Linked DNA regions of Cricetulus griseus. The protein of the gene in region 2 interacts with the protein of the main gene of each other region in a biochemical or structural test. Links are inferred from orthologs where the notes say so. Each region holds a gene or a part of one and is shown on either strand. Other genes may lie near its edges.

Region 1 (6,050 bases), on a different chromosome or scaffold from region 2:
GTGTCAGTGTGATAGCTGCTTTAAAAGTACATGGCAGAGCATTCGAAAATTTCAAACTAATTACTCTGCCATTTAATTATGACTTCCATTTAGTGTCTCTTCCTATTTAACGCACTGGCGTACTGATATACCGGTTTTCATATGCATGTTTAGTACTACACTGAATATACATCCATCTTAATTTTTAAATCCTAGAGCACAACAGGTTCCCATCCTTTGGGCCAGACACCCTTAGTAAGACAGACGTTGATGCAGACTCATCAAAATGCAGTCACCAGCCACCTAACAGCCTGTCAATCAATGACTGAGTGCAGGGGAGTCTCATAAAATGATGTCACCTAGTGACACCAGTGGTAGTCAATCTGTGTAAGTGTACTGTGATGTCTGCAGTTAATTCATAGTCGCATACTCTGGGATGTCTGCAGTCAGCTTGTATAAGTATACCTTTGTAGCTCTAACTGGTGTGGAACTATGCAGACCAGGTTGGCTCAAACCCACAGAGATCAATCTGACTCTGCCACACAGTCCATCTGTATAAGCATACTGAGGTAGCCACACAGTCCCTGACAATCTGAGATATACAAACATACAACAAAACTACCTTACCTGAAGCCTAAATATGATTGGCATCAGTTTTCCCGTTAACAAACATGTTGCACTTGAAGAAATTCTTAAGTTTATTAAAGAATGGCAGTAAAATGTCCTTGTCATCAGTACTTGTTGATAAATACAATGCCTACTCTGGGGTCAGGACATACCTCTTACTTCCCTAGGCTCTGCAGAGCTTCTTTTAAAGCACTGCCTAACTAGGTGAGGCATGAATACTACCCCTACACACACACACACACACACACACACACACACACACACACACACACACACACCTAGGAGGGTTGCTGTGAGCTCCAGCCAACCTGGAATACACTGTGAGTTCTTGCGCAGCCTAGACTACACAGTAAGATCCTTCTCAAAAAACTAAAACTAAGCTAATAAAAACCAAGCACTACATATACACCACCCAAAAGAATGATGTACTTGAGTTTGAGCACAAAGATTTCAGGCTTGGCTACCGTTCTCAGAGGTCATCCTTGTGGCTTTACAATGAAAACTGCAAGCACAGAGAAATATGGGCTGAAAGTTTCACCACTGAGGGAAAGGCTTGGTCGCTGAAGACACCAGCCTTCTAAACTCATCTCACATCCTATTGCTTTGACAAAACTGTATGACAGAATAGGTTTGTGCTCAGCAGTAGCCATGTGGTCTCCAGGGCCTGTGTCCTCTCACACTCAAACAGAATCTTGACAAGCATTCAAAACACACAATCTAAGCCCATCTAGTTACCAATCCATTGAGGACCTGTCCAGACCAACTTCCCCCACAGCCTCACTTCACTCTCACAAGGCAGAACTCACAGCCTGATGCTTGGAGACAAGAGCCTTGCTCACTTGCATAAACTCAGGAGTCACCCTTCTGTGTTTGACGACAGGTAAATTCCACTTCCAAATCTGTTTATTTTTCAAATCAAAAATACTTTTAAGGTTTTATTTTTCAAATCAAATCCTAGTCCTAACAGGTCTATTTATTAGAGCTGTCTTTTAGGCAGAGGGAGTCAAAATTTAAATCTTTGTCTTTTCTAGACATCTGGGACATTCAACTTTATTATTATTTCACATTAAGTTCTCAAAGTTAAGAAAAGCTGGCCTATTTCCTGTAAGAAATTTAATTTTAGGGCTTGTCAACATTTTAAATGCACTGCTGTTATTTTTAAAACATACACAGGCATACTTGACTAAGACTCAGCATAAGCTTTCCATATAACCATTCCCTGGGCACTCGATAACTTATTAGATGCCAGGCTCCCTGCTTAAGACATCGACTCCATCATCTCATTTGTTTAACAAATAGACTCTCATGGTTTCTGCAATGCCAAGCATAAGCAGCAGCCATTAGTTATCAAAGTCATGTCTGTACTGGATACTAGCGCTGTACGGAATCACTAATGCCTAACACACATTCGTTATCCAACTCAACCCATGTTCCTGTGTTAGCACAGACACCATGGGCAAAGCTGAGTTGCAGCGGCTGCCATCTGTGAAGGCACAACAGGGAAAGCCATTATTAAGTGATGTCAACTTACATTCCTTCCTACAGGCAGATGAGCATTATCTTAACTGACCAGAAATTTAATTCCCGTCATAATTCTAAATTAAATCTCCTCAAACATTATGATCAGCACGTCACAAAAAACTGAGATGCCGCCGGGCGTTGGTGGCGCACGCCTTTAATCCCAGCACTCGGGAGGCAGAGGCAGGCGGATCTCTGTGAGTTCGAGACCAGCCTGGTCTCCAGAGCCAGTGCCAGGATAGGCTCCAAAGCTACACAGAGAAACCCTGTCTCCGGAAAAAAACAAAACAAAACAAAAGACTGAGATGCCTTTCTCCTGAACTCTTGGTTTGTTGTTGTTGTTGTTGTTGTTGTTGTTTTAAGACAGTATTTCTATGTATTGCTTTGGAACCTGTCCTGGAACTCACTCTAGAGACCAGGCTGGCCTCGAACTCAGAGATCCTCCTGCCTCTGCCTCCCAAGCGCTGGGATGAAAGGCGTGCGCCACCAACACCCGGCTTCCTGAACTCTTCTTAAAAATAAATTCTGCTCTACATTTTTTTTTTTACTGTTTTGAATTCCAGACTCAACAGATGGGCAATTCCAGTTTTAAAAACGAGAAAGAACTAATTAATGAAGCTCTTCAACGATCCCCTAAGTTTAGCCACCTCCTTGTCAATCAATCGTCTTTCCAAATTGTATCAAGAGCGGTGGGGGAGGGAAAAGAAGAGCCCACACATACACAAAGCATGGTTGGCTTCAGAGATGAGACAACAGAAAGAAACGGGGAACCTCATCGGGGCTCTAGCGTGTCGTCGCTCTCCCCTCCCCACCTCTCCAGAGACTCTGGTGCGGTTTTACACCTCAGGCTGTCTGGCCTGGAAACCGTCTAGAACAAACTTTGACGCTGCACGGGAAAATAGGGCACCAGCGGAGCACAAGAACCGGGAAGGAAGCGAGAAGCAGGCGGCCGGCGGCGTGCGCCCCGAGGCCTCTCCGCACGCCGCTGAGGAACACAGGGGCTCGGCCCGGCTCACCCCTGGCTCGCGCCGCGTTTCGGGCGTCCTTCTAGCACCGGGCTCCCGGCGGCAGCTCCGCGAGCCGGCTAAGTAAGAAGCCAAGGTTCCCGGGCAGGCCCGACGCGGCCGCGGCGCCGCCGGAAGCCCGGACGAGCAGGGCCGCTCTGAAGCGACGCCGTAGCCACAGTCCCGCCGCCGCCGCCGCCGCCACCACCTCCAGTTCCCTACCCCGAGTTGTCAGCCCGCCGTCCACAGCGTAGTACGAACTTCCCGCCGCTTTCCTCGACTCGCAACTTGTCCACAGCGCTGTCCCCGCCACACCGTGCAGTACTGAGCCTTCCCATTGGCTGCGAGCAGCGGGAGAGGCGGGACGAGAGGAGAGGCGCGCTTCCCGGCTACCTCTGCGGGCACGCCGGGAGTTGTGGTCCTTACGCTCGCTCCATGCTGGGAATTGTAGTCTTTGAGCCACAGAGACCGTCCGGAGTCCTGTGAGCCCGAGAGCTTCTGGGAAGTGTGGTTTACAGGCCGATGGCCGTCTTAACCGCCTACTGTGGCTCTCACAGCCGAAAAAATATTACCAGAGCTCAGTGAAGCTTGATTTATTAAACGTGTAGACTGAGAGACTTATTTCAAATTTCGGAGCCCTTCTCGGTGTCAGTCTGCTCTGCTTCACCTGTCTCCATCGTCCTAGGAGTGAGAAGCAAGGATGGGTTTCAAGCCTCAATTTGGAACTGAATCTTATGAAGCCCTAGAAAAGGCTTTGGGTTTGGGTGTTGTTGTTAGTGCTGTTCTTTTACCAATTTAAGACTGGGGAGTCGGGGGGGAGGGGCCGTTGTTTGTTTTCTTTTTCTTTGAGACAGGATCTCAGTATGTAACTAGCTATCTTGGAACTCACTCTGTAGACCAGTCTGGCCCCGAACTCACGGAGATCCTCCTGTCTCAGTCTCCGAAGTAGTGAGTTAAAAGTATAGGCCAGCACACCTGGCCTGTGTCGTTTTCTTAAAGTGGATCCAAAAGAAAAAAAAAAGAAAAAGCTGTATGAGCTGTAGCACCCCCCCACACACACACACACACACAATCTGAGTCGCTGCCCAGTGTGCAGTCCGTGTCTTGAACTCACTGCCCCAGGTACCTCCACCTACCCCAGCTTCTTCCCTGTCTTGCCTTCTGCCGGAGGAAGCTGACCCAGAATTGCATTGCACACCCCACTGCTCCCAGGCTTCTGCTGAGTTCAATCCATGGAGTACCCTGAGAACTGAAAGGGGAAAAAAAAAAAGTTGGCTACAGAAGGTGACGTTTCTTCTGATTTCTTCCCAACAAGGACACACAAAGGCAGAGAAATCCCTTAGCTGAAGGTCACTGCTCTCTGGGCCTCCCACAAGTTTGCAATGAAAGCAGACCTCTGTGACTTGTCAGGGCTGCCTCTGAGGCTCAAGCTACTACTCCATCCTGTGTGACTCCAACCCGACACCTTTCTCAACGGCCTCATCGAATGTAAACCGTCCTCCACAAATCCTCCCATGGCATCTGCTTTCTGTATACACACTGATGGAAATGCAGGCCCAAGGTGAGCTCTTGATGACTATTTGTCAGCAAAGAGGTCTCGGGATTCACACATCTCATGAGTGCGAAGTCCCACAGCAAGGCTCTGTGGTCAGAATGCTTTGTTCGAAAGACATTCTGCCCGTACAAACGAGTACATGAATCCGAACTTGGAATGTGATTTACTTGTTACAGTGTGATGGTGTTCCCCTAACCTCACCACAGACGTGCAGAAAAAAAGGCTTGACAATTGGCTGACCTTAAAGCAGTTAAGTCAGCAGCAGTTCATGATCCGTTCTGAGGTGGGAATAGAACGCATTCCAGAGCTCATGGCTCTGGCACTCTCAGTCAGATGGCTCCCGGTTGAGCACTGCTTTGCTGCGGCTATGTTCCAAGGCTGTTGCCAACACCTCCAACACCACCCACACGTGCTGAGAAGTCCTACCAGTGAAGAGTGTGGCAGGAGACCAGTCCAAGCTGCCGTCATGGTGACAGCATGTCTGAAATACCACTACTTAGGAGGTGACTCCTGGGACATAGGAGACCTTCAGCACATTCTATGAGTTGATAGGTTGGTGTGAAGGGCCGGAAGGAACAGACCAGTGATCAGTCAGAACCTGCTAAGCTTTTGAAACTAAAAAGTTGAGCTGAGGAAAGACTTGAGAGTACAATCCAGCATATATCCCGAAATACCTCTGCAGCCGAGCCTGGTAGCAAACACCTTTCATCCCAGCACTCCTGAGACAGAAGGGAGATGAATCTCTGTGAGTTTGAGGCCAGAGAGGTCTACCTAGTGAATTCCAAGACAGCCAGAGCCACATAGTGAGACCCTATCTCAAAAAATCAAAACAAAACAAAGAGCCAACCTCTACAACCCTAAGAAATATTTTTAAACATTTACTGTGAACCAGGAGTTAGGGTATCCAGGAAAGATGCTCAGGTAATTAATATTCAGGAAGCCCTACTCTCTATTGGGCAGGAACTATGCTTTTCTGTATGTTTTGATTTAAGGGATTCGTGTTCCCAGGATCTGCTTTTGCATGGTCTTCTCTCAGCCACTTTACCCACAACCTCAGAACATAGAGGCAATTCCTATAAAGAAATCCTTCCAGCACGGCGATAGAGACATGAACAGAACAGAGTCATGGCTAAGTCATAGGACTCCTGATCCAGGGGCCATCGAGGATCAAGCAGGTGACTCCTGTAAAGGTTAAGAGGTATGAACAACAATTTTCAGCAAGGAAGACTAACTACAACTTGGTGGGTAGAATCTGCACTGGCTTGCAAGAGCCAGGCCCCTTTTTCAGTTCTGAGAGCCTCTGTAGTCCTGGTAACCCTGTATAGAGAGAGGAATGAAGAAGTCAACAGTAGGACTCACTCTGGAAA
Region 2 (5,334 bases):
TGTGTCACTATAGTTTTAGTAGGGGTACTACCAAAATGAGCATATTAGCAGTTTATTGAGTCAGAGCTAAGTTCACCAGCTCACCAGTACAGAGAATGATGAGTGAGACAGTGAGGAATGGCAAGTGAGATATACTGAGAAGTAGAGGGACTGGCAAGTTCAGAGCTTTGGCTGCTCTGTAGACTTGAGTTTGGTTCCCAGCAGCCATGTGCAGTGATTCACAACCACCTGTATGTCCAGCTGTTGGATTTCCAACAGTCTCTTCTGGTCCTGGAGTACTTGAAAACACACACACACACACACACACAAACACACACACAAACACCTCTTTAGAGCTGAGAGAGAAATAGAATCACCAAGTGGTGGTGTCGCTCGCCTTTCATCCCAGCACTTGGGAGGCAGAGACAAGTGGATCTCTGAGTTGGAGACCAGCCTGGTCTACAGAGTGAGTTCCAGAACAGCCAGGGCTATACAGCGAAATCCTGTCTCGAAAACTATAACCAAAAGAAAGGAAGGAAGGAAGGAAAGAAAGAAAGAAAAGAAAGAAAGGAGAAAGGGAAAGTCATAGGTACTTGCAGCAGAGAGGGGTCTTGAAACAAGCAGCCCTTTATTCACTCTTGAGATTTCAGTGGGAATCTCATCCAGAAACTCTTTCAGACAAGTCATAGACACAATGTTTGAGCTGAGCACCCCATAGCCTTGCCAGGTGGACATAAAATTAACCTTTATAAACTGTCATGGATCATATAGGTAACTGTAACTATTCAGAATCTAAGCAGAAATAGGAAAACACTTTTATTATTTTAATAATAATTAAATAATTCTTTCTTCGAAACAGGGTTTCTCTATGGCTTTGGAGGCTGACCTGGAACCAGCTCTTGTAGACCAGACTGGTCTCAAACTCACAGAGATCCTCCTGCCTCTGCCTTCTAAGTGCTGGGATTAAAGGTGTGTGCCACCATCACCCAGCTTTAAATGTTTTATTACCATATAGTTATCTTATATATTTGTAGAGTGCAATGACTCATTTCAGGATATGTATATATAATATGTAATGATCAGAACAGAATTGATTATCATATCTGTTTCTTCATTTTTTTCTCTTTTATGTTGAGGACATTAAAAGTCCTCTCTAGATACGTCTTTAATCCCAGCACTCAGGTAGCAGAGAGAGGTAAATCTCTGAGTTCAAGACCAGCCTGGTCTACATACCAAGTTAAAGCCACCCAAAGCTACCAGTGGTGTCAAAAAAGAAAGAAAGAATGAGAAAGAGAAAAAAAAGAAAGAAAAAAGAAAATTTTTGTAGCTCTTTGTCGATAATTGTTGTCCACCATTGTTGTCCTATACTATGGAGGAACATTAGAATTTAGTCTTTGTATCAGTGTACATGTTTGTCTTACCTTCCCCTACAACCTCCTTAGGTTTTTATTCTATTTTCTGCTTCTTTGAGATCTTTTATTTTAAAGTCTTCATATAAATGAACATGTGTGGTATTTGTCTTTCTGATTTAATTTAGCAACCTGCCCTCCAGCTCCATATTGCTACAAATGATATACCTGCTTTACAGCTGAGTAATATTCCATTATCCATATGTGCACCACATTTTCCCTATTTACTTAACTGTTAGTAGACACTCAGGTTCAGTTTATGTTTTTACTCATTCTAGAGCAAAACTGGATGGATAATGGGTTCATCCTTTAGAATGGCTAACACACACATATAGTACAGAGATTGTGGATTAAGAAAAAGGAGGCATGAAGCTGGGGTGTCTGAGAGAAGTTGGAAGCTAGTGTTTGTGTGTGAATATGGTTGAAATAAATTGTATATGTGTATGAAATTATCAATAAATCAATGTTATATTGTTAAAAAAAAAAACTGATTGAGTTTTGAAGATAGGCAAGCCAAGGTTGGAATATCCTCCTATTTCTTACCAGCTGTGAATCTTGGGCAGGTACCTGTTTGAGTTGTAGATTTTGCGACCTCTGAAATGAAAGATTACCTAGTTTGTCAGTGATGTTTAAGTTAGGAAAAAAAAAATGTGTGGGACACAGTAGCTATTAAGTTACTAAAACTAGCCACAATGAGCCAGGCATGATAATACCACCTTTACTCCCAGCACTCAGGAAGAAGAGACAGTGGAGCTCTGTGAGTTGGAGACCAGCCTGTTCTCCATAGCAAGTTCCAGGCCATCTAAGGTGAAGTTGTGAGACCCTGTCTCAAAACGACAAAGACGAAACAAAACTAGCCGTTGAAAGAGTTGTGGTCATTTTGTGTCGTCTTTCATCCTTAAACTCCACAATCTGCAGTCTTGGCTGTATGTAACTACTTGCTGTCTTCTCTTGACAGGGTTAAGTTAGAAGATGGAGAACTCCCTGAGAATTTCATAGTAAGCAATGGCGGTGACTCTAACTTTCTACTCAGAAAAGCAAAGAAGCGGGCTTTTAAGTTGGTGGACAATGAAGAAATGGAACTGGGTTACAAGTGCTCCAAGAAGCACTGGAGAAAGCTAGAGGACAGCAGCTATAAAGAGAAGGCCTTAGACCTGGAAACAAAACCTGTTCCAGATGAGGTGGGGGTGGGGAGGACGAAAAGCAAGAAAAAAAGCAAAGTGACAGACAGCCCAGCAGAGGAGGAGGAAGAGGCCAGAAAGAAGTCACCAAAGAAAAAGGAGAAATGTGAACATAAGAAGCAGACCAAGGCACCCAAGTCTCCCAAAACGCAGATGCCCAAGGAGTGGAGCCCACAGAACTGCTTGCCCAAGGGCTCCCCCAGAAGCAGCCTCACTAAAGCCCTGAGGAAAAGTAGTGCAGGGCCAAAAGGGGGCTCAGGCTACCTGTCAGAGTCTGATTCTTGTCCAGAGTCGGTCAGTGATAGCCTCTGCAATATCACAGTGTCGGGGATCACCTTTTCAGAGAAACTCTCAGCTGAGCTGTTGAACGATGGACCTGCTGCAAAAACGGCAGCTGTCAACAAACAGGCCTCAAAGCCCGCCTTTCCCTTCAGCTCCGGCAAGGGCAAGGGCAAGGCCATCAGAACCTCGTCATCCAGTTCAGACTCCAGTTCCGAGTCGGAAGACCAGTTCTTGGTGTCCAAGAACATCTCTGAAGGCGCCTCAGACTTCTTAAAGACAGCCGGTCTCTTTGCAGGGCAAGGGTGTCCAGGGCTGACGTTGCAGACTTCGGGTGTTATGGGCTGGAAGCCTTCTGACTCCAGCAGAGGCAGGCAAGCTCTTGGTCCTGCTCCAAGTGTGCCTGTCCCTACCAGTTTGGGAAGAGGATGGGGTCGAGGAGAGGACTTCTTGTTGGGGAAGGGGCTGAGGGGCCGGGGTATACGAGGCCGAGGTCGAGGCCGAGGGCCTGCTATCTCCTGTATCTTAAATAGAAGCTCTGAGAGTCAGAAGCAGAAACAGTTAAATGACATCCTAACAAACTCGTCCACTGTGATCCAGGTAACCATTCGTTGTTTGAGTTGGCTTCCCTTTCCCCACGGAGTGTATCTCAGCTCCGAGGCATGCCACGGGTTCCTCTTTTTTCACCAGTTAACCGAGTCATGTGACTGTTTTCCAGAATCCTGTAGAGACACACAAGAAGGACTATAGTCTATTGCCACTGTTGGCAGCTGCCCCTCAAGTCGGTGAAAAGATTGCATTTAAGGTATATGTTAAAACAGCACCAACTATAACAAAGGCAAGATTCCCATCCCCCCACAAACACATGAAACTTACTTAGTGAATCTTACTAAGCAATGTCTACAAAAACTGTCTGCCGTTGTCAGAAGTCATGGTGGGGCATCAGGTGGGTGGGGGTGTGTGCCTCTGCATGGCACCCATTCCTGGGGTAGGAGGGAGCAGGCCCAAGAGAGTGAGGGTCTGGGAGAGTTGTGGACTCTAAGGCTTTGTCTTCTTTTTTAGCTTTTGGAACTCACGTCGGACTACTCTCCTGATGTCTCTGACTACAAGGTAAGACTGTTTCTATGAACATAATGAAGTTAGCTGTGTGGTGGAGTGTACCTATTGTCTACCTTACTCAGGAGACCGAGGCAGGATATCCTCTTGAGCCTAGGAGTTCACAGCTAGTTCATTAAAAAGAAAAAATGAAAAGATTAAATTGTCACTATGTCAGAAACTTGTTCAGTGTAGCAGCATCCACCTTTTAATCCTGGCACTCAGGAGGCTGAGGCAGGAGAATTTTGAAACTGAAGCAAACTGGGCTGACATAGGGAGATTCTGTTTCCGAATATTTTAAACAGATGAAGTATGGGGCCGGAGAGTGATGTCTCAGTGGTTAAGAGCACTGACTACTCTTCCAGAGGTTCTGAGTTCAGTTCCCAGCAACCACATGGTGGCTCACACCATCTATAATGAGATCTGGTGCTTTCTGCTGACAAGCAGGTGTACATGCAGATAGAGAGAGCACTCATACACAAAAATATTTTAAAAAATGAACTGCTGATAGATTTGAATAGCACTTGCATGGATAATAATAGACATTTTTGGTAAGTAATGTTATAAAGGAAGATGAGAGTCCTGTGGATGTTTTTACAAGTGTCACTGTGAAGTCCCCCAGTCTTCTGTCGCTGACACTTGAGAACAAGACAAGGATGATTAGCTCCTCGTGGAGTACAGGGACTGTTGTGCTTCCAAGGTTCAAACTCAGGGCCTGTCTCAAAAAGAAATAAATAGCTACATAAAGACAAGTAAGTAAATAAAAAGCATCTCTTGTCTGTGCCCAGAGAGAAAGGGTAGGATCTGAGTGGTGGTGCCCAAGAGACCGCTCAGCAGTAAAGAGTTAGCTGGCAGTGGTGGCGCATGCCTTTATAATCCCAACACTTGGGAGGCAGAGGCAGGTGGATCTCTGTGAGTTTGAGACCAGCTTGGTCTACAAATGAAGTTCCAGATCAGCCAGGGTTTTTACACAAAGAAACCTTGTCTTACAGAACAACAACAAAAAAGAGCTCATCGGTTGGCCTTACTATATGACTCCAAAGCTGCCCATTTGTCTTACCATTGCCACCTATATGGGCAGAGCAGTGGGTCCTCTTTTTAAGTATTTGTTTGTTTTTGGAAACCGGGTTTCTTTGTACACAAAGAAACTATCTTGGAACTCGCTCCATAGACAAGACTGGCTTTGAACTCAGATATCCCCCTGCCTCTGCCTCCCAAGTGCTAGGATTAAAGGACATACCACTATGCCTGGTTTAAGTTGTTTTTTTTTAAATGATTTATTTATTTTTATTTTATGTGTTTTGGTGTTTGATATGTTTCTGCTGATGCAAAAGACCAGATTAAAAGCAGATAAATGCAGGTTTATTGGGTGTTGCTTTCAGGTAGGTTCA

What was found.
Region 1: of the proteins of Coil (region 2) and Vrk1, one has a biochemical effect on the other in vitro, tested with the Homo sapiens proteins (2 studies listed by BioGRID and IntAct, with this or other methods). The link is inferred for Cricetulus griseus from reciprocal best matches to the Homo sapiens genes COIL and VRK1.

The regions. Positions count from the first base shown.
Region 1 is NC_048598.1:188,704,087-188,710,136, forward strand, and holds the start of Vrk1 (serine/threonine-protein kinase VRK1), read right to left. Parts: upstream 3,494-6,050; 5' UTR 3,351-3,493; intron 3,300-3,350; exon of another isoform or gene 3,141-3,299; intron 1-3,140. UniProt on the Homo sapiens protein: Serine/threonine kinase involved in the regulation of key cellular processes including the cell cycle, nuclear condensation, transcription regulation, and DNA damage response.
Region 2 is NC_048600.1:102,121,231-102,126,564, forward strand, and holds part of Coil (coilin), read left to right. Parts: exon of another isoform or gene 1-43; intron 44-2,346; coding exon 2,347-3,448; intron 3,449-3,566; coding exon 3,567-3,653; intron 3,654-3,910; coding exon 3,911-3,958; intron 3,959-5,334. UniProt on the Homo sapiens protein: Component of nuclear coiled bodies, also known as Cajal bodies or CBs, which are involved in the modification and assembly of nucleoplasmic snRNPs.